7 linked regions of the Xenopus tropicalis genome follow. The protein of the gene in region 7 purifies or fractionates together with the protein of the main gene of each other region. This does not show direct contact. Links are inferred from orthologs where the notes say so. Each region holds a gene or a part of one and is shown on either strand. Other genes may lie near its edges. The genes, in order: cnot7, cnot11, cnot9, serbp1, cnot10, cnot2 and rc3h1.

Region 1 (3,980 bases), on a different chromosome or scaffold from region 7:
GGCCGACATTTTCTTACCAACTGAAGACACTTTGGGTCTCACCGCCGATACGAACCTGCTTGCGCATGAGTAGTTGTAGGTAGCAGGAAATCTGCTTCAACTGCGCATTCTCAAGCAGGTTAGGTGTCGGCTGTGAGACCCAAAGAGTCTTCAGTCGGTAAGATGTTGGCGAGGTACGCGGTTGCGCTTGTCTGCATTTTTAGCTAGCAGTCAGCAATAGGGACAGAGTGTAAACTTGAAAACAATGCGATATGGGAGAGGTGGGGGGGGGGTCTAGGCAAAGAGTGCCATCCGGAAGTAAAGTTCTCCTTTAAAAATATGTTAATCAAAGTCCCTGAAACAGCACCGTGTGCCACTATTCTAAGAGTTTTAGTTGCTACCTAGCCTACCCAATGGCAGGCACCTTACCAGACCATGGCCACCATACACCTTTAGCAGTTGAGCCCATGGATCTTTACTATCATAAAGCTGCTACAATTAGCTTAGAATAGAAAATACAGCATTTCTAGCCATATTCTTTTTTTTTAGGCTTTAGTTCTACTTAGAAATATCTTTAACAAATAAGTGCAGTAAGCAGCCTGACTTGTTTCTACACACTAGAAAAATTATAACTGCAATATAAACCGAACCCATTGTACTGGACAAAAAAAATATTAATATTTTAATGTAAACAAGTACTTATATTGCATATTAAAGTAAATTAATTATTCTATTATTGTTATGTCACACGAAACATTGGGCCATTAGAGTCTATAGTTGATATAATATTACCCTGACAGCGGAAGCAGTGTGGCAGATACTGCAAGCAAGGATTGCTTATAAACAGTAAATAGGTTCCCCTTTGAGGAGACTCAAAAATCTATAAAATCTTAAATATTCCTGAACTCTTAATGCCAATTTCAAAAATGAAAAACATTTTTGGAGGGGAAACAAACATCCTAAACATACCATTGCAACATAATTATACTTGCGTATAACTTGGCGGATTCTCTTCATTTGATCATCCAGGTTGCAAGCCCAGACTTCGCAAATTCGCTGGCTGAGGTCCACTGTTGCAGCTGGCATAGTGGGTCTGGGGGACTGACTCAGAGGCAGGCATCAAAATTTTGCAATTAGCTATTAAAGGGTTTCATAGGTGGTAGGCCGAGGCCGAAATCAGCTGCTAAATCTAAAATTAAAAGAAGAATAGTTTTTATTTTACTAACAAATAAAAAATAATATACCGGTATAATACTAGCAGGCAGAACATATCAGGAAATGCCAAGAAAGGGGAAAGGTGGCCCATGTGCATGCCACCACCTTTTGAACAATATGCACTTTGTGCAATACATTTTATATTAGGAATGGGGATCCTCTGACTATGGAGTGTGTTTGGTCCATGACATTACCCAAAAATTGATTTTTGTATTTTGCCCATATATGGTGATCCATTGTTAATATGAGTTAGGGGAAGTTGTGGTTGAAGCACAAAAGTGTATAAATAGAATATTTCTTCTCTCTACCCATGGTAATAGTTGTAAAGCCATCTTTTAAGTCAACACTGTGGCTTCTTTAGGGAGTAGCATAATTCTATTTTGCCTTAGTGCTCTATACAGCAAGGCCCAGCAATCTGAGCTTTCTGGCCCATCACTAAGCAGAGATAATGAACACAGCTGGTACTGTTAGGCTTCAACTGGGTAGTAATAATGTAGGCTAGCAGTATTATTACAACTCTTGGAAAGTGACCATACCAGAGTTCTATACATAAGAATCTCTAGGTGCCACCCTGGATGCAGACCATGTTTTATGCAGATCATGTGTTAAAGGGGCAGTATATGCCAATATACAACATTAGCAAAATAAATAGAACATATGCAAATAATACAGCATATCATTGAACATATCAACTGAAAAAATTGCATATTTCTTAGTGATAACATTATAATAAATCAGAAATGAAGCATTTGTTTTCTCCTATGCTTACTCTCTTACCATTAATTAGATGAGTTAGTTTATCTAGATATACTGAGCTCTGTATAAACAACCCTCATCCCATCACCCTTTGTTATGTCTAGTTTGGCTTACAGGTTGGCAGGATTTCCTTTGTGCACTGATAATGATCTGCCTCACAAAACATGCATGAGCTTCAGTTGACTGTTTAGCACAGAAAACATCAAAAACAATAAATGTTTCCTGATTAAAACAGACAAAAAGTATGATCAGCACAAGTTCTATTCATTGCAATCATAATGAACAAGGGGGTATACTGCCCCTTTAATAAAAGCCAGAAATGAATGGGGAGAAGCAGGTCTCCCTGAACTGTCTTGCGGGGTAGACAGGAAGATGTCCAGCTGCACTTGTTGCTGAAGCGTATCCTTTGGCTGATGAAGGATGCTGGGTAATGTAGTTTACGAGCTAGGGGTTCGCCACACAGCTGCCAATAAAAGCTGTTCAGGTGCAAGTATCCCTTCTGCGTCCCTTGTGATTGAACGAGCTGGAGGCTCCCCGACTGGATACTGGCCCATAGTCACGGTATGTGCGCTAAGCACCAATGCCTACTGATGCTTGTGACAGACAATACAGCCGCCTCTGGTTGTGCCCAGTGTGTGTGTGTGTGCCATCCCACTGCTCCGTATCCGTTCTGTAAGGCTCACAGCCCGACACTATCCCTGCCCTACCTAAGATAAGTCTGGCCGCTGCCGGTCTGTCACTTCACGACCGCGCTCCCAGGGCTCGCACAGGAGATTACCGAGGCCCCTACACGTCATGCGAGCGACGCGCCAGTCCCACGGCAGGTTCCTGCTAACCTCCTCCCGGACGCACTTGGATGACGTCAAGCCGCCACAAAGGCGTGGAAAACCATCCCCTTCTCAAGCTGGTAGGTGACATGATGTCACAGGCTGTGCGTCATACGGCGCGACCCATGGAGAGTGAAAGTAAGTGGCAACTGGGATTGTGCTTGATGGGATAAACACACAACTGTCTATCTAGTATGTGTGTGCAGGTATGTGACAACTGCGTGTATGGCTTCTCTCAGATATCATGGTGCGTAGGGAAGGTTACATACATGTTGTGTAGCACGGCAAGGGACAACTGGGGGTGTAAGAGGAAGTGACAGCCGACTGTATCTTGCGGTTTTATTTAATGTTATCTGAGTGAGGGTTGAAGGTTAATAAGGTACACTTAGAAATTGGGGGGGTGTTAATAAGGTACACTTATGAAGTGGGGGGGAATGTTAATAAGGTACACTTATGAAGTGGGGGGGAATGTTAATAAGGTACACTTATGAAGTGGGGGGGGAAGGTTAATAAGGTACACTTATGAAGTGGGGGGGAATGTTAATAAGGTACACTTATGAAGTGGGGGGGAATGTTAATAAGGTACACTTATGAAGTGGGGGGAATGTTAATAAGGTACACTTATGAAGTGGGGGGAATGTTAATAAGGTACACTTATGAAGTGGGGGGGAATGTTAATAAGGTACACTTATGAAGTAAGGGGAAGGTTAATAAGGTACACTTATGAAGTGGGGGGGGAAGGTTAATAAGGTACACTTATGAAGTGGGGGGGAAGGTTAATAAGGTACACTTATGAAGTGGGGGGGGAAGGTTAATAAGGTACACTTATGAAGTGGGGGGGGAATGTTAATAAGGTACACTTATGAAGTGGGGGGGGAATGTTAATAAGGTACACTTATGAAGTGGGGGGGAATGTTAATAAGGTACACTTATGAAGTGGGGGGGAATGTTAATAAGGTACACTTATGAAGTGGGGGGAATGTTAATAAGGTACACTTATGAAGTGGGGGGGAAGGTTAATAAGGTACACTTATGAAGTGGGGGGGAAGGTTAATAAGGTACACTTATGAAGTGGGGGGGGAAGGTTAATAAGGTACACTTATGAAGTGGGGGGAATGTTAATAAGGTACACTTATGAAGTGGGGGGGGAATGTTAATAAGGTACACTTATGAAGTGGGGGGGGAATGTTAATAAGGTACACT
Region 2 (4,049 bases), on a different chromosome or scaffold from region 7:
GCACAGCCATGACTCTTATCTCCTCCCTGGTCATAGACCATTTTGTCAAACCACACACAACTCACCTAAACTCCCACTTTCCCCTCCCCTATGCAAACAGAAATCATGCTTGGGGCCCGGGACTGCAGTAGCCCCTGTGCCCCTTCAAGTATTTTTGTGTATAGGTATGAGATATATGAGATATATTATGCTGGAACCCATTACCCAAAATGCTCTGTAACAAAGCAATGTCATACTATAAAAAAATAAATAGGCTGTAATCAATTTTTTTCACCTTAGATTTATTTGTGGCTGGCCAGCCTACTAATTAAAAATACTTATTATCACATACAATTCATGACTTAAGGTCAACTCTTCAATACAAAACACAGACCACCCCTCCTTTGAATCACAAACTGGGACAATAGCACATCTTTAGTGAACTCCAATAAAGGGTAATTTTCAAGTTTGATCATTTTTATCCCAGAATAAAACCAGCATCATATATTATTTATTATTGACTACATAGCTGGGATAAGACCAGCATCATATATTATTTATAATTGGCTACATAGTTGGGGTAAGTAATAGCATTATTAGTAATTGTATGTAATAATCAGTATTTGAATTAGTAGGCTGACCAGCCAAAAATAATTTTAAGGTCAAGTCTAAATAAAGTGAATACAGAAAACCCAGTGTATTTTTTATAGTATTGCTTTAACCTTACCCATTTGGGTTAGGATTTGTTGCCATTGGTACATTGCATTATTCCTTTTGGGATAAACAAAGCAAAGTTGCTTCCAGTAGTATCCTGTTTATATTCCTCACTATTGCAGGCGACTACTCTCCCTGACATGCCATCCCACTGGCAAGAATGTAAATCGCCGGTGGGATGGTATACGCATCACTTCACTCGGCTGAAATTGCCTTGCAAGCAAACTTGCGGGCGACTTTGGAAAACTGAAGCAGCTCATATACCATCCCACAGGTGATTTACATTCTTGCCAGTGGGATGGCAAGTTGGGGAGATTAGTCACTCACAATAGTGAAGATTTAATGCAGTTGACCAATCTCCCTTTGTGCCACTGCCCTTAAAGAAGAAAAGGTAAAATGTTAGGCTACAATCACTGGGGGGTGCTTTTCTTCTCCTTTAATTAGCATTATTATTCTAAGTCAGAAAACTTTGACCTCAAAAACAAATATGTTTTATTAGACAAACAATTTTCCACCAGTTCAGAAATACCCCTTATCCAGAAACCTCCAACATTTACCAATAACAGACCCTGGCTGTGTTTATTTTACTGTGGAAATGTTACAGTCCATGTAGCCACTATCAATAGCAGTCCCTTGCGGCTTTGTTGACATTCCAAAACTATGAACGGAACGCTCATCCCCACGTGATTTGTGCATAGTTCGTCACTTCCTGCTGTGTGAGTCCATATCCCGGTCCATTTTAGAAATCTTCTATCCAATCTCACGGCTGCGACGCATACAGAACCAAATAATACACACGCCGATCTGAGAAATACAAAACTTTATTGACACGTGTTTGAAAGAACAGTGACAGGCAGGCTGCTTGTGTAGGCCGCCATACATGTAATAACACGGGAGAAGGCGCGGGCTGTCTCGGCTGCCACAGAAGGCAGCGGCGTTACACTTACACGCTGTCCGCATTCCCGCCAACATGAGCCTCTGTGGGAAAGAACTGTCCAACCTGCTGGGCATCATGACGGAGGAGGCCTGCAGTACCACGTTCGAGGGCCTCTCAGCCGCCTTCCATCACTGCTTCTCCAAAGCAGACCATTTCCGTGTGGGCTCCGTGCTAGTCATGCTCCTGCAGCAGCCCGACCTACTGCCCAGTGTCCCGCAGCGCCTCACCGCCCTCTACCTGCTGTGGGAGATGTACCGCACCGAGCCGCTGGCTGCAAATCCTTTCGCTGCTGTCTTCGCTCACCTGCTTAACCCACCCCCTTCTGCTGTAGAGGAGGTAGAGAGACCCCTGTCAGGTAATCATTGTCCAGAGGTGGTGGGGGTTCACCCAAAGCTGGAGGGCAGCAAGTCTGATATACCCCGGTGTAGTCGTCTTCACAAAGGTAGTTGACTAAATGCAGTGATATTGTAATTAGTGGACCAATTTACTTTCTGTAGCTCTTCAGCTTGAAATTTTAGCAGCAATCTGGTTACTATGGTCCAGGTTAGCCTAGCAACCAGTCAGCAAGTGTAGATTTATAAAAGAGGACCTTGCTGAAGTCAGTGGCTATCAACTACAGTAGAACCCCATTTTACGTTTTTCAGGGGATCATGAAAAAAAGATGTAAAATCGGGGAAAATGTAAAATCAGGGAAATGTGTTAAGGACACATAAATGTCAATGATTTAAAAGAAATAAGTACAGGAATAATTTTTTATTTGCAACACAGTTCCTTTACTGAGTTATTTCACAGGTTTTAGCAGAAGTACTGAAACAACTTTTTACAGTACTGTAAAACATTTTGCATTTAATGCATGTGTTTGCTAAAAGTTTGAATATCACTATAAATTAATAAGATGCGGAAAAGAATACTGTACAGCACTGAAACAAAAATCTGTATTCTTTTAAAAATCTGCACCTTGTACAGCTGTTCCCCATACTTGTGCAACTCTCGCTGTATTTTGTACGCTCCGGGATAGGTACGCATACGCAGTATGAAATACTGGCGATAGTGGTGACGCTGACCTTCCTAAGATGGCGTCTGTGATCGCAAGACATGGGGGAAACTTTAATTCCTAAAGTAAGCTGTATTTTTACCTTAAAACTAAGCGATTTGCTAGGGAGAGGCATGATAAAAACAGTGTAAAATGCGGGAAATTCATATGTAAAATCCGGGAATAGAGCCCATAGGAATGCATTAAAATTGGTGGGACCACAAAAAAAACGGTGTAAAAAGCGGGAAAACTTAAAATCCGGGGATGTAAATTGGGGGTTCTACTGTATTAAGGTGGCCGTACGCTATAAGACACTCGATTTTCTCCCGATATGCCCACCCATGACTGGGCAATATCAGGGTAATTCGAACGGTTGGCCACATAAGCGCCGTTGTATCGGGAAAGTCGATCCAAAGGAAAAATCAAACCTGACAGATTGAAATCTGCCCAATTTCGTGCCAGATGTCTGTCTGTAAGACCCTTTGGTGGTGCCCATATCCTGCAGATAAAGGACTTATATTGGCAGCTGAAATCGACCCATGTATGGGCACCTTTACACAGGGTTTTAAACTGCAAACTGGAAAGGTGCAGAAAAGGAAGGCAATTAACTGAAAACTGGTCAGAAAGTTACTATGAACAATAGGCTGTTTTATAACTAAAGTTAGATAATAGTCAGGAGTGTAGTTAACATCACTGGCATATGGAAACGTACATGTGGAAAGACTGAATACACCACATGGAGGGCATCCCTGATCCAGAATATGGGTAACAAACTGGCTTGGGACTTTCCTACACTCTGGTTTCTGCTATCAGGCCATACCATGTCAATGTGAGAGCTGTGCATTAATTCGGCTAATAATATATAATTAGTTACTCATCTTTTATTTCTGCTTTGTCTTTGGAGTGATAACTTCTTTCTGGAAGTTGTAGTCATAAACATGCCATCATTAAATAGCAGGGGTCAAAACATCTGCTACATCCATTAAGCCTATATGTCACATGGGGCTGATTTTTGACCTTAGAATCGGCCCCTATACTGGCATCTGCCCTGTGCCCGCACCCGGAGCCACTGCATCAACCTGGGTGCAGTCACACAGTGTGGATTCCGGTTTTGAAAACTTAAACTTGCAAGTTTCAGGGACAAAATCTGCTCCTGGTGCATCAGCACCATGTGGCATTAGGTTGAAGTTACATGGAGCGATTAGTCACTGCAACTTTTTAAAAAGTTGCGGCGACTAGCTGCCGTGCTGCAAACGACGTACAACGCGTATATTGATCTATGGCAGCTAAATCGCCGCTGCAGAGTTTTTAAAAGTCTTGGCCTTGTATCTTTGCCCTTAACATGACTATCCTGAGAAGAGAGTTTAGCTATCATCACAGGCCTTG
Region 3 (2,418 bases), on a different chromosome or scaffold from region 7:
TCTTGGCCCCCACATCCCATTATAATCTGCCGCAGGCTGGGGTGAGATTCCTGACAGACAGCCATTCCACTGTGAATAGCATTTCACAATAGATACAGCCCCATTACATTTCCCCATAACTTGCCAGAGAGGATGTTTTAATTAACAGTTCATTGCCGCTGTCATTTAAGCACAATGCCACCAAATCACTAAGTCGCAATATATTTATAAGGATATAATTGATAGGTGTACAGAGCCCAAGAATATGGAGTTTCACAGCACTGGAAAGCAATGCTGTTCTTTGTCATGGCAGAGTCAAGAGACACAGTTTGAGATGCCCACTTATTTATTATGCAACCTAGTTAAGGATGTGGGGATCTAATGTGTCCTTTTTACTCTCCCATTGTATAGAGCTCCTGTTTTCTAGCGCCCCCGAGTGCCTGCCCTACTGGCATCGCCTGCAGCTCTCATGGATAGGAGGAAAGGTCATGAAAAACATTAAGAAATGTAAAAGCCACTGCTGCATTAGGAAATGCTTTAATTAAACAATTTGTTCCTAAAGGGTCAATGGACAAATGCTTCGAAGTAACAAGGCTGTTCTATGACTTACAGTCAAAATCTTGCAGAAATGGTTACTCAGATGGGCTCACAGTCTGTACTGCAGGAAAAGCTTGTGCTGCGCAAAAAATCAGATGAAAAAAAGAGCATGTATTCAATAGCGGAACTTGCCCTAGTGTTTGGAATAAGCTGAAGCACAGGAGGAGAAAAGGCAACCAGTGGAGGAACGATTTAGCCTTGGCCATTAGAGCTAGAAGACTGTACTGTTCCAGATAAAGTCTGTTGACTGTACTTTTTTTTTTTTTTTTGTAACAGTAAACGTAGCTCACTGCCCACACCAAAAGACAGATCATACCATCCTGCACTACGGCAACACGGAATACCAGATACTAAAGCAGCCATCTCTTGTTCCACATCAAACCAATTTATGGAGCAGTCCTATTTTGTTGCTGGTGCTGAGATCTGTACCCTTCTTGAGACGTCAGGTGGTTCAGCTGCCTCTAGATGCCATGCAGCAGGACTATACCAGGAAGCAAGAAAAATTAGTGCCAACTTTTAAATTTTCCCATTATATTCTTCTCCTCCTGCTGTTTGCTCTGCAAACTTATACAAGCAGCTTCACATTTTGCCGTCTGTGCAGATATTACTGGGGAGGCAGGGGTATTCCTCTAGGGTCAGTGACCTGACCTTCTTGCAGGTTCTTGACAAGCTGAGCCAGCCAGCGCTTGGTTGTGGTATCATCCTTAAGTACCTGTGCAAAAGTGGTATCCTTTAGCTGGTCGGGCAAACACTGCCTCAATGCCTCTCTCGCTCTGGAATCAAAGATTAATGTAATGTGAATAACAATGGAATAAATCTGTTGTTTAGTGAATGTATGTAGTTACATATGCTATCTAATAATAAGGTGTACTGCTTTATTATCCGCTATGGACATAAAAACCCTATTCTCATTTAAGATGGGATCCCTCAACTAATTAAATAAAGGTGCTGTACAGGGTTACTTATAAGGAGGGAGTAAGAAAACCTTGAGAACAGGGCATTGAAGATAAAACTCACAAGCAATATGGCAACCTATACTATCAAGCTGAAAAAGAAGTCACGGGTTATTTTCAGCCGTACCTTGGATTGTCTGAGAGGCGGAGGTAACAGCGTACTACATGTTTCAGCAACCTTGCAGATGGCTCCTTTGAAAGCTGTAGGACCATTTTCCCCTATTAAAAGAAAAAGATTGTTAACAGCTACCTGTACCATAATATGTTTCAAAGACATTAAAATCACATGGTGGCAAACCCAGTTATAGGACGTGTAACACGAAGCACGGCTTCTTACCAAAATCATTGCAACATGAGAGAAGCGCTCATAAGTTTGGCAAATATAGGCCAAACCCGTATCATCTAGGAGAATCTTCTGAAGAATAAAAGTGGCAACCTAAAAAAAAAAGACAAATACATTTTGTGATCATAGGCAGGATGTTATAGCATTGCTAAGTGCACTGTGAGCCAGTAAATACGACAGAAGGAAAATAATCAGGCACCATCCCTGGATCTGATTAGTAAATTCTGTCTACCAATCAATATGCTAAACTGCAGGGAAAACAGCTGAAACGGCCCACAAGCACCCTAAAGCCATTTCTGTCTATATGCCCCCTGTACTGAGAGAACTGCAGTGCATGTGTAAAGAGAATGTGCTTCAAGTTGGTCTTGCTCTTCAATGAAATTTTAGACTCACAAACAAAAGTAGGCACATCAATAAAATACGTACTGTTTTGGAGAGTTCACTTCCAGACTCCATAATACGTAGGCACAATGGGATTATTTCTGTGGTAAGGAGGAAGTTTATGACTTCTTGTTCGTCCGTTTTCACAAGGGCACCTATTAGCGA
Region 4 (4,248 bases), about 14 Mb from region 7:
GAAGATGGCTTGAGCACATGAACACCAGCATGAGAACATGTGATGCCATATGTATATGGGTGGGGGGAATTAAAATGAGTTTTCATACAACTAAGAAAAGGTAAGCTCATACAGAATTATAGTTGTCATGACCTTGAACTATTGGATTACCATTTAACTATACATATCTGCTACAAAGTGCCCAGACCTGGGAAGGGCCACACTGACACAATTAACATATCTACATAATTAGCACGATACCCTTTTAATAATTAGATTTTGGAAAAGACTTCACTTTATGAAAATGATTAATGTATACAAATCACATTTGTTGTCTGTTTGTGTAACTGCAAGTATTTATACTACGTTTCATACATAGCAAACAAAGTAGTTTACTATATTGTCCATTTAAAACTTTTTTTTTTAAAGGGGCAGTAAAACTCTAGTTCAGTACAAGCACTATTCATTAAATTCATATTGCACATATGTTGTACATGTTGCATTTATAATGAAAAATCTATGGTTTTTGTTCTTAAGCTAAACAGGGAAACCGAGGCTACTGTATGTTTGGACCTTGCGAGATAGATAATTAGATTAAAGTAAATAACCCTCTTCCCTTTATCCTCAGTTGAGATTTTCATTAACAATAACCCATTACACATGGAGCTTATAAGGGCACTGTTAATTAATATTCTACCTCACAAGGACCAAAGATGGAGTAACTTCAATTTCCCAGTTCAGCTCAAGAAATAAAAATAACAGATTTATGGCGATTAAAACAATAGGCAAAAAGTATGTTCACCACAAGCCCTTTAAACCTGGTGTCCCCAAATGTTAACTACAACTTCCAGCATGCTTATATCTGTGACTATTAGGTTAGTTTTAAATGCTGGAAGTTGTTGCCCAGCAACATAAAAGGTAGGAAGGCTTATATATTTAGTCATATATATTTAGTTCTCGTAAGATGCTAAAACATTTAAACGTTTTGGAATATTCCTAACAGCTCTCCTATATTAAGAAATATACTGTGAAACTTAGTGAGAAATAAGAAGGTAGATGTAACAAACAGAATACACTGCACAAACAGATGATCTAACTGTTACACCAGAACACTAAAAGACAGCAATGATGTGTGGTGAAATTGGCCACACATTAAGGGCTGATGGGGTGGTTTCTCCACAGCCTTATTTCAGCTAGCTAAAAAGTGCCCCAAACAACACCTGCTGCCCCCATTCCCTTATAGGAAAAACACCTGGTCAATGTAAAGAATCGGGGGCTGTTTCAGGCGCTACTCTACTACTGAAATACACCCAGTATAGAAAAGGGCTTTACACTTAATAAAACTTGGGTAAATTATGGAAATGTTTAGAAAAATGACATTGCCCTGAACATTGCAAGAGCAGAGCTTCACATTATTAGTTTTTAGGTCAAGTGCTTGAACATTTCCCATCAGTCTGTTGACATTAGTATTAAAATAAAAGCTAAGATGCCTTCCAAAACGCTTTAGGGTTAGGAGTCTGATACGGCGTGTTTTTTATGGCACAAAGTACTTTTATAACACGTCTTTAGCGGCTGTGATTGACACTAGTAATACCTGGACTAGTTGCTGTAGCTCTCATGAACCACATGGAAAACTGATATTTTATCTAGGGCCCCCCCATAGTAAAATCTGGCGTATGCACATTAAAGAGCACAAGCCAACCCAAACCAATGTTGCAAACTTTTATTCTTTGTAGTTGTACTGGGAAGAAAAAGGCAACAACCCTCCAGTAATAGTAGGGCTCAGAGTGGTGAGGCCTGCAGGAAGCGCCCAACCCATAGCAGTACACACACATTTCAGTGATAGGCCCACGTGTTTGGTAAGTATGGCTAGGGCCTAGTGTTGTGACAACCGCCCCCCTCCCCCCTCACACCACGTGCTCCCTAGCGCTCTCCCGCCACAAGCCTGGGCTAAGGGAAGCAGCTCCATGTGCGAGGCCCTAACGGTAACACTTCAGTGACAGCTCTGCTTGACCTTGGAGGGCAATTCGATTCTTAACGCTCCCCTCCCCCCCCTCCCGTCTAATGTGCCATGAGCCCGTCTGACAAAAAGAAGTTAACAATACGGCGATAACCGAGGTGCAAGCGCCTGGTTCAGCCAACTGCCGCTATAAACGCGTAATTTACAGTTCGACAGGAAAAGTATACACTGCGAATGTGTGCTATATGGCACCTTTCGAGTTCAACTCTTAACTCGTAGAACCTGGGGTAGTACTTTATAGGCTATAAGTGCATGCATGGAAATGAAATATAAAATAATTCGAAACTCAGTAGTGGAACGTCCCTGCGCTGAAGCTTACACAGCTCGCCACTTGTCGTTGGATTAAACTACCTAATCACCCCCGGGGCCTACTGTCACTCCCTCAGTGCTAGTCCTATGGCGCGTTACCTTCCTTCTTGATTGGTACAGGCGCCTGGCTCTTCTCCTCCTTTTCGGACAGAGGGTTCTTCCGGTCTTTCTGGGACTCCTTCTTGGGCTGTTTGGCGGCCTGAGCTGCCGTTTTGCCGGTCCCTTGACCCGGTCCCCCTGCGCCCTCCTTCTTCTTGTTCTCGGCCGCCTTCAACACCTCGAAGGGGTCAGATTCATCGTCAAATAGCTGGTCGAACCGATTGGTTACGACGCAGCCGAAGCCTTCCTGCAAGTGACCGGGCATGATGGCCCCTTAAGAGGTGGATGTTCCTCCGATTCTACGAGGCCTGGAGCCTAGAGCTCGCTTGCTAGTAAGCCAAAAGATGGCTGGGAAAGAGGCTGTCTTCTCTTCCGGCGCGATAGACATCCGGGACTTCTCCGGCTGCGGCATGATGGGACTTGTATGCCAACTGTCGTGCGTGTGCATGTTACATAGTGGCGCTAGGAACTACCATTCCCAGCATGCCATTCACCGGCATTGTGCGGGCCCCATCTATGTTTTCATGCGTGCTGCCTGTCAGTTGTAGATAGATAGAGACAAACAGACGAAGTGAGGGAGGTGCTTGGTTTGGGTAGCTGTAATTTACCGCCTCAGTATTCCGTATTAGAATAGTTTTTTTAAAAAAATAATTGCCCCCATAAGGAAACATGCTCCCTTAGTTGTATTGTTATGAAGCTGTAGCCAGGGGATTGTGGGAGTTGTAGTTCAATAATTTGGAAGCTAAATGCTGATGAAAATCTTCAGCATAGAGTTACAGAAATAGGCGTTTTCGCATATAGTAGCTAATGGGAATGAAAAATAAAGGTTTTAATTAAAAAAAAAAGGAGTCTCTGAATGAAACAATGTGTTGCCATATTTTTCTGTATGAATATTTTTTCCGTTAAAACAAAACCTCTACATTTTGTTTTGCAGACAATTAGTGCATCCCTATTATTAAGATGTATTTGTAAAGTGCTAACATTTTATGTAGTGCTGTACAACAGATGGGTGTATTTTACTGGTCTGGTCAGAAAAACTATGTTTACTGCCAACGTTATTATTAGGTTAAAGACAAAAATATAGGAAGGCCAGTTTTTTTTCCAGAAAAGTGGAAACCCTAGTATATATTTGTGTTGTTGCCTTCCTGGTATTTTACTGGCCTAGTTGGCAAAAAAAAGAACATTTCCTATAACGTCAACCCAAATCGCAGGACACTGGGGAAATATTGGGGGCATGGCTTGCTGGGGGACTGTGATAATGCCACTGTGCATACACAGAGGGTAGGTCTGCTCACATGAAAATTGGGCAGGAAAAGACAGCAGTGAGGCTGTGGAATGCTCTTCTGAGTGATATTGTAATGGCAGATTGGTTTGGATGATTTCTTGAACAAGCGTAATATCCAAGGCTATTGTGATACTAAAATCTACAATTAGTATTGATGTTGGTATATATGGTTTATGTATGTGAGTGTATAGATAGGTCAGTATAGGTTGTGTGTGCTGGGTTTACTTCGAAGGGTTGAACTTCATGGACTTTGGTCTTTTTTCAACCCTGTGCAACTATGTAACTATATAGTGCGCTTGTTGTTTGAGTACGCCCAGAATGTGAACTACAGTTACTTACTCCAGATTCTGCTATTCCTGAATAAAAACTAGGGACATCATTTTCTTAAGAAGGTGATTCCTGGTCCTCCCTTACTTCTTAATTTAGCATGTTGCTAAAATAGATGAATTGTCTATTTTTGGTGTCACCGCTGTTTCTTTTATCTTGGGCCCAAAGGCTTTCAGAGCTTGAAACACTGCCCTGACTTCCAACACATTTGACTGTGTGTTCTCTCAAG
Region 5 (3,500 bases), on a different chromosome or scaffold from region 7:
GTGGCACACGGGGAAAAAATGTAAATCGCCAGGGGGATGGCATACGTTGTGCCGTGATTTCCCCGAAATCGCGGAAGTTGCCTTGAGAGCAAACTTCCACAATTTTGGGGAAATCATGGCCCCACGTATGCCATCCCACCGGTGATTTACATACTCGCCGGTGGGATAGTATTTCGGGGAGATTAGTCACCCGCGACAAGGGAGATTTGTCGCGGACAACTAGTCTCCCCGTCTGCCACATCCCTTAGTGTTACTGTTCCTTTTCTTGTAAGAAGAACGGGTAATGTTGGGGGGAGCAAAATGGTGCACTGAATTTCATGTAGGGCTTTATTTCCCATTTAAATCACCATAAGGCCCAATTGTACAAGTAAGCCATAGTATAAAGAGGGGATATTTGCTAGTAACCTATTCTGCATGGTGAACTGTGTGTGTCTGACACATGCTGTATGTGGTATTCCAAAGAGACCCAACAGATCTGCCACTCAGCTCCATTGACTACTTTGTACAACATTATTATTGTATTAGCATACATAAGCCATGAGTAAATGCAGATAAATTTGTTTCACTTAATTTTGTATAGTGTGTATCTGTTTTGAAATAGATTTGTGCTTTTTATTTATCAGTGATGGAGAGTCTTCAGCTATTCCTGTTGCTAGCATGGAGTTTGCTGCAATATGTCTGAGAAATGCATTGCTTCTTTTGCCAGAAGACCAGTTTGAAGTAAAGCAAGAAAATGGTTCCAAGGCTAGTAGTCAAACAGGCAATACAGACTCTAGCGGGGAGAGCAGTGATGTGTGCAGGTAAGCAGACAAGTAATACTGGCAGTTTCTCTGCCTTGCTTGTCTTTTGTCATTGTGGGGAAATATAAACTGTGTCTTAAAATTTACTAATGACCTGGAGATTACGACCTGGAACTGATCATTTATTCAAACCATCAGTCTTAAAAGCGGTAATGTTTTATTATTATTATCTATATAGTGCCATCAATTTACGCAGCGCTTTACAGAATAGAGGGGTACAAAAGGCAGAATAGTTAACATGCACATATAAACAATTCACAAAAATGGTTTGCAGTTACATTGGATGAGGATCAGAGACACTAGGGGGTGGGCCCTGCTCGCAAGAGCTTACATTCTAAAAGGGAGGGCTGTGACATAAGGTCAGGGTAACTAGTATGACGTTAGAGTTCATGTAGGTGTGTAAAGTGACAGTAAGTGCAGAGTGAGAGGTGAAAACCAGTGGTTAGTGAATGTTTGGGGGGGTTTAGGTTATAGGCTTGAGTGAAAAGGTGAGACCGTTTAAAGCTTGGAGAGTCTGGCAGTGCCTAATGGGACGGGGAATGGTGTTCCAGAGGATCGGTGCAGCGAGTGAGAAGTCTTGAATTCAAGAGTGTGAGGAGGAGAGAAGGAGGTCATTTGTAGAGCGAAGGTTACGTCTGGGGGTGTACTTGGGGATTAGGGTGGTTAAGTAGACTGGTGCGGCACCAGTGAGTGCTTTGAAGGTGAGTACAAGCATCTTGAACTGAATCCTGTACATGACAGGTAGCCAGTGCAAGGATTAGCAGAGAGGGGCGGCACTTGTGGAGCAGGAGGATAGCTGTACAAGTCTGGCAGCACTGTTCATGATGGATTGGAGTGGGGTCAGTTTAGACAGGGGTAGCCCACAGAGCGGTGAGTTGCAGTAGTCTAAGCAAGATATGATAATGGTGTGGATGAGAATTTTGGCTCTCATCAGTGAGGAAAGGTCAAATGCATGCTATGTTTTTGAGGTGGAACCGACAGGATCTAGAGAGTGTTTGAATGTGGGGAGTGAAAGAGAGAGCAGAGTCAAATGTGACTCCTAGACAGCGAGCTTGTGGAACTGGGGTTATATTAATATTTTCCACGCAGTGATTTCAGGCAGGGAAACGGAGTTGGAGGGTAGGGAGAATGACTAGCTCAGTTTTGTCCACGTTGATCTTTAGGTGGCGAGAGGACATGAATGCAGAAATTGCAGTTAGACAGTCGGAGACACGAGTAAGGAGCGAGGGCGGGTCTAGGGAAGAGAGGTAAATTTGGGTATCGTCTGCATATAAATGATAGTGGAATCCAAAGGAGCTGATTAGTTGACCCCAAACCAGTGGTGTAGATTGAAAATAGAAGGGGTTCAAGAACAGAGCCTTGAGGTACCCCAACTGAGAGAGGCTGAGGAGTGGAGGTGGTGGCCGAATGGGAGACACTGAAGATTAGATATAGTTTTTGTTTATTTACCACCTTAAACTGTTTTCTTTAATGAGAGCGAAGACGCACTGAGCGATTTGTCGCGGCGTGACTAATCTCCCTGTGTGTCACGGCCCTTACTCTAATGTTGATCCCAAACTAAACTTGAGAATTGTTTTATTGGAGATGTTTCTGTTACAGCTTTTGTAAAAGGCAAACAGAAGCAGGATATCTAATATAACAAAAGCATTTAATTTGGCCTATTATTATTAGTTTTCCACTATCTGTCTAAATCGCTGCTAAAATGATTTTTCTAAAATGATAAATATTGTTGGCACTATTCGCATGGATGAACTTGTCTCGTCTTTAAATAAAGAACTTTTTAGCATCCCATCCTGCATCATCATCATCTCGCTCGTTATTGAGTGAGAGCTGCTCATATCCTTTGAGCACATTCATCTTTAAAAGAATTATTTGATTTTCTTTTAGCAATAAAAACCACGAAGGGGATAAATTCATTCCAGCTCCACCTTCATCTCCCCTAAGGAGGCAAGAAGTAGAAAACCTAAGGTATGGTATGCTTTCTTCATGTTGGTTGGTTTTATATATATATTTATTTTTTCAAGACTTTTTGTATTGACTTTATCGTTATCAGCCATTACTTATAATTAGGTGTTATGTTTCATTTCATTTTATGCATCTAAGTAATATCTAGGAAGTGCTTAATTGTAATTAAAAATCTGAGCTGCCGATTGTATACATGTATTGACATGTATTTCCTGCCCCGCCTCTATGCCTTAGGCATAGCTAACTGCCTACTTTGCAGCTGCATCCAGCTGCAGGATCTCAAACAGTATGCAACAAGTAGTATGTACTGTGCACGATTTTGTGAGCATGATTCACCTTGCATATATTTCCTTGGTAATTGCATTGTGTTGGATCCATCTGAACAAAAGGGAAACTCTGCAATATCTTGACATTATTTGGATTCAAATGTGCAATAACAGAGTCCTCATTAAATACGGAAAACACTGGTGTGACATGGTTACAAAAAATGTGTAGGATGACAAAATCTTACCCTAAATGACCTCAAAGCTGGGCTTTCAAATGTATCTAGGAGTTAAAAGAAACTCCCCAAATTTCACCCTGACTAATCTTCAGGTTGAACCCCCACTGTTGCTCTACTTTACAGCCATCTAGATCTACGTGCTGCTGATCACAGGATCTTAAAGTATCTTAAAAGGTGTGTTCCAACCTTGTTTAAACCTCATAGCTGATAGTTAGTAAAATCTCTTGAAATAC
Region 6 (4,261 bases), on a different chromosome or scaffold from region 7:
AGTAAAACAGGAATTCTGGTTATTTAATATAAGATATAGTATGCTCTTCCCTGCAAGGCTAAAAATGATTAATGAATGTTAATGGTATATTATGAGACTAAATAGACATTTACTTTTGGGAAAAATTGCTAGATTTTAAGGTAAACATAAATTAACGTGTTGTTCAAAAATATAAATATGGTGGAGGGGGTATGCATTTTTCTATATATAAGAAAATGTATTAAAGTGTACCTGTCACTGCCCCCCCCCCAGGAGGTGCGGGCTAATAGAGCCAGCACTCTGGTTGTGGGAAACAAGTTTTTAAAGAACAAAAAAAAAAAAGTGTCCCTGCCTGTGCTAGGCTAGCTCTACTGGGAGGGAGCCCCCAGTGCAGCCAAGCCTAGCACTGCAGGGGGCATTTTATAGAATGAATTGCAGTATGTAGAAGCTTTTCAACATTAGCCTTTAGGTCAGAAAGCAAAGAGCAGATATGCTGGATTCAGGTGGAGGACAAAGATGATATTAAGATTAAGCCTAACAATATTTAAAATATAAATCGTTCCGCAACCATGGCCCAAAGCATGAGCACTAGTAAGTTTCTCATTGATTTGCCATGGGAATACCCTAGTCATTGTTTGGTCCTGTGTTGTCTACACATTGGACAATGCAGTTCAACCAATGCTTTCTGTAAATCAGTATATTTTTAAAAAATGGCTGCATGGCAGTGCTGAAATTAATCTGATATTTATTCAAGATTAATATTCATCTTGGAGGCAGTACCAGTAGACCCTGCAAGTGAATACTTGCAATATTCAGTAGACCCTATGAAATTGTCAGATTCTGATACAACTTTATAATTCGGAATAATGACCTTTACTATGTAACTAAATAATAATTTTTTAGGCGATAAAGGGGAAAAAAAATCCTTACCTACAACGGGGGGATTTGTTAGTCTATATAAGTTAATTATTTGTCCAAATTCTTATTTAATTAATGCAACTATAAATGCATTAACCTAGTTTAAGGGACTTAAACTATCAGCTTATATTTTGGCAGGAGACCAGTTAAAAATGCCATATGATGCTCCTGCAGTTTAGACCTGCTAGATACATTAGATATGCAGTTACACATTATGGTCACAAGTATTCTATTGGAATTGGCGATTTAAGACACCCATTGTTGCTGCCACTGGCGCCTTTCCATCATACAATGACATTCTTTACAATATCATTCTTCCTGGCAACAATGTGGGGGAAGGCACTTGCCTGTTACAGCACTATAATGTCCCTATGTACAAAGCAAAGTCCATACCAAATTTGGTTGCTGGGATGGGAGTTAAAGAACTTGAACAGTCTGCACAGAATCCTGACCTTAACCCAAGTGAATATCTGTGGGATAAACCTAGAACCCAGACGCGAGGAGTAGAGAATTATGGTTTTAGAAGCAAAGAAAAGGACCAAATATATATTGTGTGATTAAACATTTCTTTATTCAGTGATTGGATAAGGTGGTTCATAACTCTGTTTCGGTTATTGTGAGTGTCGTGAAAGGTCCCTCAAGTACTAACACTAACCCACTAAGCAAAAATGGCACTTCCTAACCCATACAGAATAAGGCATTTTAGTAAGTATCAGAAGAGAAAGTCACTTAGTTCTGTGCACTTAAATATAACGGTAACACACTGTAACACTCGCATTGTTTGAAATATTCATCCAACCAAATGTGACTAAGAGCCTATACTCTTTCGACCTTTAATTAAACTCCCCCTGAAGTAGAATTTACTCTACAGGAGACAGTCAATATGAATATAAACACATAAAAGGATTCATTTCCAAAGGATGCAATTCCTCATAAGCCAAAAGAATCTTACTTTGTTGTCCATATAAACTGGCCCCAAACTGTGACAGCTGACCCGATGCGGATGGTGATGGAGATGCCAGCATCTAAATAACACGAAACATATATATATATATTTATATATCATTAGTGCAAATGAACACAATGAGAGAAGGCTCACAAAAATGTATACCCAACAATCTCTAAATCAGTCAAGATCTAGACTGACTATCTTTAAATTTCCACATAATTTTTCCAGCTACACAAAGTTACTGGGTTACCTTACTTCACCATATAAAAAGGTTCTTTATTTTGCTTCAGAAGTATGATAGTTTAACAACATAAGCACTCATGAATATGTTGAAATACAAGCATAGTACTTTTTTGCCAGAAAAAAAAAACACAGTGGTGTGAAACTGTTAAAAGCCAACTGTGCTTATTTACAATGCAAGCTGTCTTTTTAAATGTATTTATAAACCTTGTTTGTAACTATACATGAATTAACACCATACATCACAATTACAAAGAGCAAACCATGGTGTTTATAAAAGGTATTTTATTTTGTCAGACTACAGCTGAAATTTACAGCTCCTTTTATAATAGAATTTTAAAATCTGCTACACATAAATCTTTCTGCAGCTTTATAGACACATGGGATTTTACACTATGTTGTACTTTAGGACTGTTTACATATTGTTATATATCTGTGCCTTAAATTGTCCACCAAAGGTATTGCCACTCACAGGAACATGCACCCAAGTCCCCAACCTTTGCAGTTATAACTTACACACTAAACACAAGAATACTTCTATTTTGTGTGCTCTGAAAGTTATTTGCAGCATTTTGCTATGAAACTCAACTTACATCTTTCTCCGACCGATGTGGAAACATCGTAGACTGGCTATAATACATATTCTCATCATGGTAGTCACTTTCGACACCTTCTACAAACTTCTTTCTTGAAGCACCAAACATGCTGTATGTCACCTAAAAATTAAAAAGCAATAAGATTACACCAGTGAGACAGACGCTGTGATTTTCTCTAAAACTAAAACTGATGATACTTTATTTACTTTGTTTGAAAAGCCTAAAGAACACAAAATACGTTTAACCACTATTTCTGAGCAACCACATAAATCCCATCAGATAATTCAAGCTTAAATATAAAAATAAATACAAAAATAGCATTAAGTTAATACCAACGGATATACGGATGCTTTCACTGGACTGGAAAAAATGGAAAAGTATTTTATGTTCGACTGTCTCATCAGCAGACCAGATAGTATAAATACAACCACTGGGACTCATTTGGATCACTTATTCTGTGGAAAGAATATTCACTAACTAACTGTTCTATAAAAGTGTAGTTATAAGAAGAAAAAAAAAACATCAATAAGGCATATTTTTTAAGTCAGCATATAGAGTGCAAAAACTGGGGTGATCGCATTTGGTAAATTGCTAAAGGACACATGTGGTTCAGGGTAATAGCACTGATTTGGGACAGTTAATCAATACATTTTTGAGCATTTTTTTTTTTTGAGCCAAACTGGCTAGGCTAAAGTATTAGTAGGGGAAAAAGTTTTGTGTTCCTTAACCATTGGGTTAATTTTTCTGTTGGGGTGCGACCTCTAAAGCTGTAAAGGATAGCACCTAGGCAGAATGGGGTCTAATAAAGTAAGATTAGACAGGGTTAAATAAATTCACGTGAGAATGTAGCGAAGTATAGTGGTAAAAAAAGATACCACCAAGAGATTTAAACTACATGATATTTTGATATTTTATCTGACCCACAAAATATTGTCACACAACTGCAAGATTTTGTGGAATCCTACAAAATATGATCCCCTCTGATGTAATGCACGTCAGATTAAATAAAGTCGGATGGAATGTTTTGTTTATGCAGCCACATCCGACAGTCAATGTATTTTAATAATAAGAAAAGAGTCTTTCAGACCTTATTAGACTTAATCTTGCCAGACGCAATTGCAGCGGCCCCTTCTAATAAGCATGCCATGTGTGATGGCACAACTAACTAACTGTCTGCAAATAGCTTTTTGGGCAAATTGTGAGGGCTACAGTTAAAAGATCTTATTGAGCATTATGATATAACTGGTATTTCCACACACCCCCCCCCACAAACAATTATAACTATCGAATATGTGGGAAACCCTGTAGGAGAAAAGTAAAAAAGAGGACTGACTACCTAATTAATGGTCACAATGCCCAGGAAATTGAATAAAGCTGCAAAGTTTAATTAAATTGCACTTATAACTTAACACTGTACTATATACAGAATGCTGAACTATATGGACACATTATGTAACATTTACTACATAATTTACTTGCATTGCAACAGTTACATAGTTACATACGGTTGAAAAAAGACCCATCAAGAGTCCATCAAGTTCAACCCATCCAAGTAAACCCAGCACACACAACCCACACC
Region 7 (3,500 bases):
TGTAGAATACAATGGGAATCTATGCTACTTATCTGTTATCTGCTTAGTAACCTGTGCCTTTTCTCCTTTTTTCAATTTAAATGTCTGCCCCCATGGCTACACAGCAGGGTATTTATATAAGCTGTAGTAGTGTTTATGAAGAAAACACACAACTTTTACTAGTGCAGAGCAATAGTATATAAAATATTAATTATTTTTATACACTTTCATTTTTTTGGTGTTACTGTTCCTTTAAGTTTGGAACTGCATTATTTCCTCTGACCCTGAACCATTGCAAATCTAGCACAAGTGAGAAGTCCAACCAAATTTCTCACAGAACAATTCTCACAGAACAATTTAGCACTTCCAAAGGTCAAGCAAGATTACTATATTACATTCAAATAATATACTGAATTTAATAAACTTCTATCCCTCAATAGCAAAATCACTCAGTTTTCATATCCTCAAGAAAAACTGCTTCTTCCTACCTATGCCCACCTTCTTCAAGAACAGTCTTCTGATTCTGAAGCCTCCAAGCTTCTCGTCATCTCCACTCACAACTTGTTCCCTCAACTCCGTGCCCTCTTTTGCTTAAACAATGTGCTGCAGCTCCTTTGCATATATTCAGCTCTTCCCCAGCTATCGGAATTTACTCTTGCTCATCTCAAGTATATCTTACAAAAGGCCACTATTGACCCATTTTGTCTGTCCAACTACTATTGCATATCTTTTCTGTTAAAGCTATGAAATCTGGCTTTCAACGTGTCCACTCTGATCCTCAAAGACCACCTTTCTATCCTCAAGGCTAAACTTAAAGACTAAATCTTGAAGCGTTGTTGTTGTTTTGTTGTAGTCGTATGGATATATACTAATTCTTTTGTAAAACTAGTTACACCCTCATCATATGGGTAATGGTAAGATATCACAAAGATTGAGTATGCAGAATGGGGGGCCCTTATGACAGATGATGAAGAGTAAAAAGGAACAAAGCTAAGTTGAACTTGGCCACACAAAACCACAGCGTTTCACTTATATGAATACTGCATGTTTTTGTACAAAAAAATTAAAATGTGCGGATGAAGTACTTAGTAATGGCAATATTTATTTTAAATATTTTAGAACCCTAAAATAATCTCACAGTGTTGCACATTTACTTTAGCTATTACATTACCATATATTATTTGTTGACCTTGAGCACTCTTTCCATTTGCTTGTGTTCTCATACATACTCAGTTAAGAGGAAGATGGATATTATACTTACCCTATGATATGATGGCCTTATCTGTCCTGGATGTGTATAATAACCTTCAATTCCCTGATATCTCTCTCTGGATTCAGGAACATAGGGAGAGATAGCAGCAGGAGGCATTTCTAGAGGCACCGGACTTGCACGAACTATTTCCTCCCTTTGGTAAGGTGGAGCATTAGAGGGATAAACACGACGGTTGTCATAATGTGGCTGGTACTGGGTGGGTACAATTGTCTGGTACTGCTGAGTGGGAGTGCCATACTGTGTGCTGACAACTCTGTCCTGTAAGTAGGGAGTATAGTGGTCGAGGTAGGTGGCGGCTGGTTCAGTGGCAGCAGGAGGAGGTCTGACAAAGCGTGAAACACACTGGGAGGACTGAGGTGGGTAATAAACACCTAAAAGTGAATTTGATTAACGTGAGAACTTACATAGTTGTTTCTTAAAAAAATCATGTACATTAAAGGCCATTAATATTTACATTTTTTCTTATGACTACACAAATTAGGCTAAAGTCTCCTGGTGTGATGCTATTTGTAGCATTGCCAAGCAATTTGCATGCATGTGCCATGTGTCCTGCAGAATGTAAACCACTGGAAAGTGTGTTAGACATCACAACGGACAGAATAGCTGAGTTCACTGCAAATACCCACATCTTAATATCTTAACATCTTAGCTTGTGTGTCAAAGATACATGACGGGTAATACAAGCTGGATTACATTGTGAAAAGGCTGCCTCTAGTTTCTCAAGCCGCTGTCTGAAGAAAAGCTTGCACACAGGACTACCCACATCAAATGATCTACATTAAATCTGCAGCAACTTCCAACTACATGCAGTGACAAATTTATATTCATCAACACTTAATAAAATGAATATTTAATGAATTAAACATCACTTACCTTGTGCATAGGGAGCTGCATCAAATGGAGGTCCACCACCCCGACATTCTTGGTAAAACGTATCTGCTGGAGGAGGGGCATATATTTGTGAACCACGTGGCACCATTTGGATTGGCTTGGAAACCGGCAATGGTGGCATATCACTGGATACACGCGAAGCAGCAGGATGAGCATTGACAGGCAAAGCAGACATAGATGCCTTGGGGACAGAATCCAGCCTAGCCAAAAATTGAAATATAAAAAAGTAAAAAAAAATATTTTCTAGAAGCTTAGAAACTGCTGTGAAGCCTCATGGCAAAAACTCATCTAACTACAATTGTAGTTAAACCAAATACATAGCCAAAACCATAACACGGGTCTCCAAGCTGACTCCCAGAGTTGGACTGGCTCCCACTGAGAAACCCTGCTTAAAATGTTACTGCCAAATCAGAAGCAATACACATTTTTCTATGCTGTTTTTAAAGGACAAGAAAACCCTCAGCATGAGTCTTAGGCATGTGTTAGGATGCAATAGAAGGAGCGCATACACACTTACCAATTTTCTCCCCTCCCATCATATCCTGTTTCATCAAGTGCTCCCCAAAACTTAGTGCACGTGCATTTAATAAGTCTGGAAACCTTTGCATGTGCATAAACACAGAGCTTTTGTATACTACAAAGAAACATACATCAAGTAAACATTAAAGTACATGTGCAGATCAAATATGCTGGGGTTTTCTTTGGCCTTTAAGCTACAAAATTAAAAATACAAGCTATCTACCAAATAAATAGTCTCTTCCATCATCTAAATAAAAATACATTTTTGGAGAAAGTTGACACCTAACCTAGCAAAATTAAAAGACCAAAAAAATAAATTTATTAAAAAAAAACACCCTGAGATTCTTACAGTTCTGGAGGAGATCCAGGTGCACTGCTGCTCAATTGATCCAATTTTACTTGTTTCAGCACTGACTCAAAGCCAGAGTCTGTACTCCTTGAGATGAGCTGTGTCCCCGGAACAATGCCGTTGGGAAGCCCACTTGGCTTTCGGGGTGGCAAGTCCATAGGACCTTCATCAGGTGCTCCTATCGGTAGTCCAACCTCATTCAACTGACCAAGCGAAGCACTGAGTGGCCGTCTTGGAACCAAACGTTTGTTCATTTTCCGAAACCTAAAGTAAACACGAGCAGGAAAATGTCTAAAGCAATAAGTTAAGTTTTACTGTGAGATGCCACGCGTTGGTACTGCCCAGTCATACAACCAAGAATGGATACTAGACCCTAAACTGTGCCTTTTAAATATCCTGGTTGACTATGATATGAATATGCAAGGCTTTTGAAAACTGTAGGCAAGCAACAATATATTGGTAAAGCTCATCTCTGACTACCAGGGAACA

Evidence for each region.
Region 1: the proteins of rc3h1 (region 7) and cnot7 purify together in Homo sapiens (affinity purification with mass spectrometry; 5 studies listed by BioGRID, with this or other methods). This does not show direct contact. The link is inferred for Xenopus tropicalis from reciprocal best matches to the Homo sapiens genes RC3H1 and CNOT7.
Region 2: the proteins of rc3h1 (region 7) and cnot11 purify together in Homo sapiens (affinity purification with mass spectrometry, with the first as the bait; 4 studies listed by BioGRID). This does not show direct contact. The link is inferred for Xenopus tropicalis from reciprocal best matches to the Homo sapiens genes RC3H1 and CNOT11.
Region 3: the proteins of rc3h1 (region 7) and cnot9 purify together in Homo sapiens (affinity purification with mass spectrometry, with the first as the bait; 4 studies listed by BioGRID). This does not show direct contact. The link is inferred for Xenopus tropicalis from reciprocal best matches to the Homo sapiens genes RC3H1 and CNOT9.
Region 4: the proteins of rc3h1 (region 7) and serbp1 purify together in Homo sapiens (affinity purification with mass spectrometry, with the first as the bait; 3 studies listed by BioGRID). This does not show direct contact. The link is inferred for Xenopus tropicalis from reciprocal best matches to the Homo sapiens genes RC3H1 and SERBP1.
Region 5: the proteins of rc3h1 (region 7) and cnot10 purify together in Homo sapiens (affinity purification with mass spectrometry, with the first as the bait; 3 studies listed by BioGRID). This does not show direct contact. The link is inferred for Xenopus tropicalis from reciprocal best matches to the Homo sapiens genes RC3H1 and CNOT10.
Region 6: the proteins of rc3h1 (region 7) and cnot2 purify together in Homo sapiens (affinity purification with mass spectrometry, with the first as the bait; 3 studies listed by BioGRID). This does not show direct contact. The link is inferred for Xenopus tropicalis from reciprocal best matches to the Homo sapiens genes RC3H1 and CNOT2.

The regions. Positions count from the first base shown.
Region 1 is NC_030677.2:42,300,004-42,303,983, forward strand, and holds the start of cnot7 (CCR4-NOT transcription complex subunit 7), read right to left. Parts: upstream 2,801-3,980; 5' UTR 2,658-2,800; intron 2,651-2,657; exon of another isoform or gene 1,972-2,650; intron 1,169-1,971; 5' UTR 1,066-1,168; coding exon 949-1,065; intron 1-948. UniProt on the Homo sapiens protein: Has 3'-5' poly(A) exoribonuclease activity for synthetic poly(A) RNA substrate. Its function seems to be partially redundant with that of CNOT8.
Region 2 is NC_030678.2:110,377,181-110,381,229, forward strand, and holds the start of cnot11 (CCR4-NOT transcription complex subunit 11), read left to right. Parts: upstream 1-1,249; 5' UTR 1,250-1,663; coding exon 1,664-2,072; intron 2,073-4,049. UniProt on the Homo sapiens protein: Component of the CCR4-NOT complex which is one of the major cellular mRNA deadenylases and is linked to various cellular processes including bulk mRNA degradation, miRNA-mediated repression, translational repression during translational initiation and general transcription regulation.
Region 3 is NC_030685.2:82,345,818-82,348,235, reverse strand, and holds the end of cnot9 (CCR4-NOT transcription complex subunit 9), read right to left. Parts: intron 2,409-2,418; coding exon 2,299-2,408; intron 1,966-2,298; coding exon 1,867-1,965; intron 1,749-1,866; coding exon 1,657-1,748; intron 1,350-1,656; coding exon 1,181-1,349; 3' UTR 501-1,180; downstream 1-500. UniProt on the Homo sapiens protein: Component of the CCR4-NOT complex which is one of the major cellular mRNA deadenylases and is linked to various cellular processes including bulk mRNA degradation, miRNA-mediated repression, translational repression during translational initiation and general transcription regulation.
Region 4 is NC_030680.2:83,566,754-83,571,001, reverse strand, and holds the start of serbp1 (plasminogen activator inhibitor 1 RNA-binding protein), read right to left. Parts: upstream 2,801-4,248; 5' UTR 2,673-2,800; coding exon 2,408-2,672; intron 1-2,407. UniProt on the Homo sapiens protein: Ribosome-binding protein that promotes ribosome hibernation, a process during which ribosomes are stabilized in an inactive state and preserved from proteasomal degradation.
Region 5 is NC_030682.2:50,224,724-50,228,223, forward strand, and holds part of cnot10 (CCR4-NOT transcription complex subunit 10), read left to right. Parts: intron 1-623; coding exon 624-800; intron 801-2,687; coding exon 2,688-2,768; intron 2,769-3,500. UniProt on the Homo sapiens protein: Component of the CCR4-NOT complex which is one of the major cellular mRNA deadenylases and is linked to various cellular processes including bulk mRNA degradation, miRNA-mediated repression, translational repression during translational initiation and general transcription regulation.
Region 6 is NC_030679.2:59,329,356-59,333,616, reverse strand, and holds the start of cnot2 (CCR4-NOT transcription complex subunit 2), read right to left. Parts: upstream 2,801-4,261; 5' UTR 2,791-2,800; coding exon 2,680-2,790; intron 1,923-2,679; coding exon 1,850-1,922; intron 1-1,849. UniProt on the Homo sapiens protein: Component of the CCR4-NOT complex which is one of the major cellular mRNA deadenylases and is linked to various cellular processes including bulk mRNA degradation, miRNA-mediated repression, translational repression during translational initiation and general transcription regulation.
Region 7 is NC_030680.2:98,036,385-98,039,884, reverse strand, and holds part of rc3h1 (roquin-1), read right to left. Parts: intron 3,276-3,500; coding exon 3,012-3,275; intron 2,344-3,011; coding exon 2,126-2,343; intron 1,624-2,125; coding exon 1,241-1,623; intron 1-1,240. UniProt on the Homo sapiens protein: Post-transcriptional repressor of mRNAs containing a conserved stem loop motif, called constitutive decay element (CDE), which is often located in the 3'-UTR, as in HMGXB3, ICOS, IER3, NFKBID, NFKBIZ, PPP1R10, TNF, TNFRSF4 and in many more mRNAs.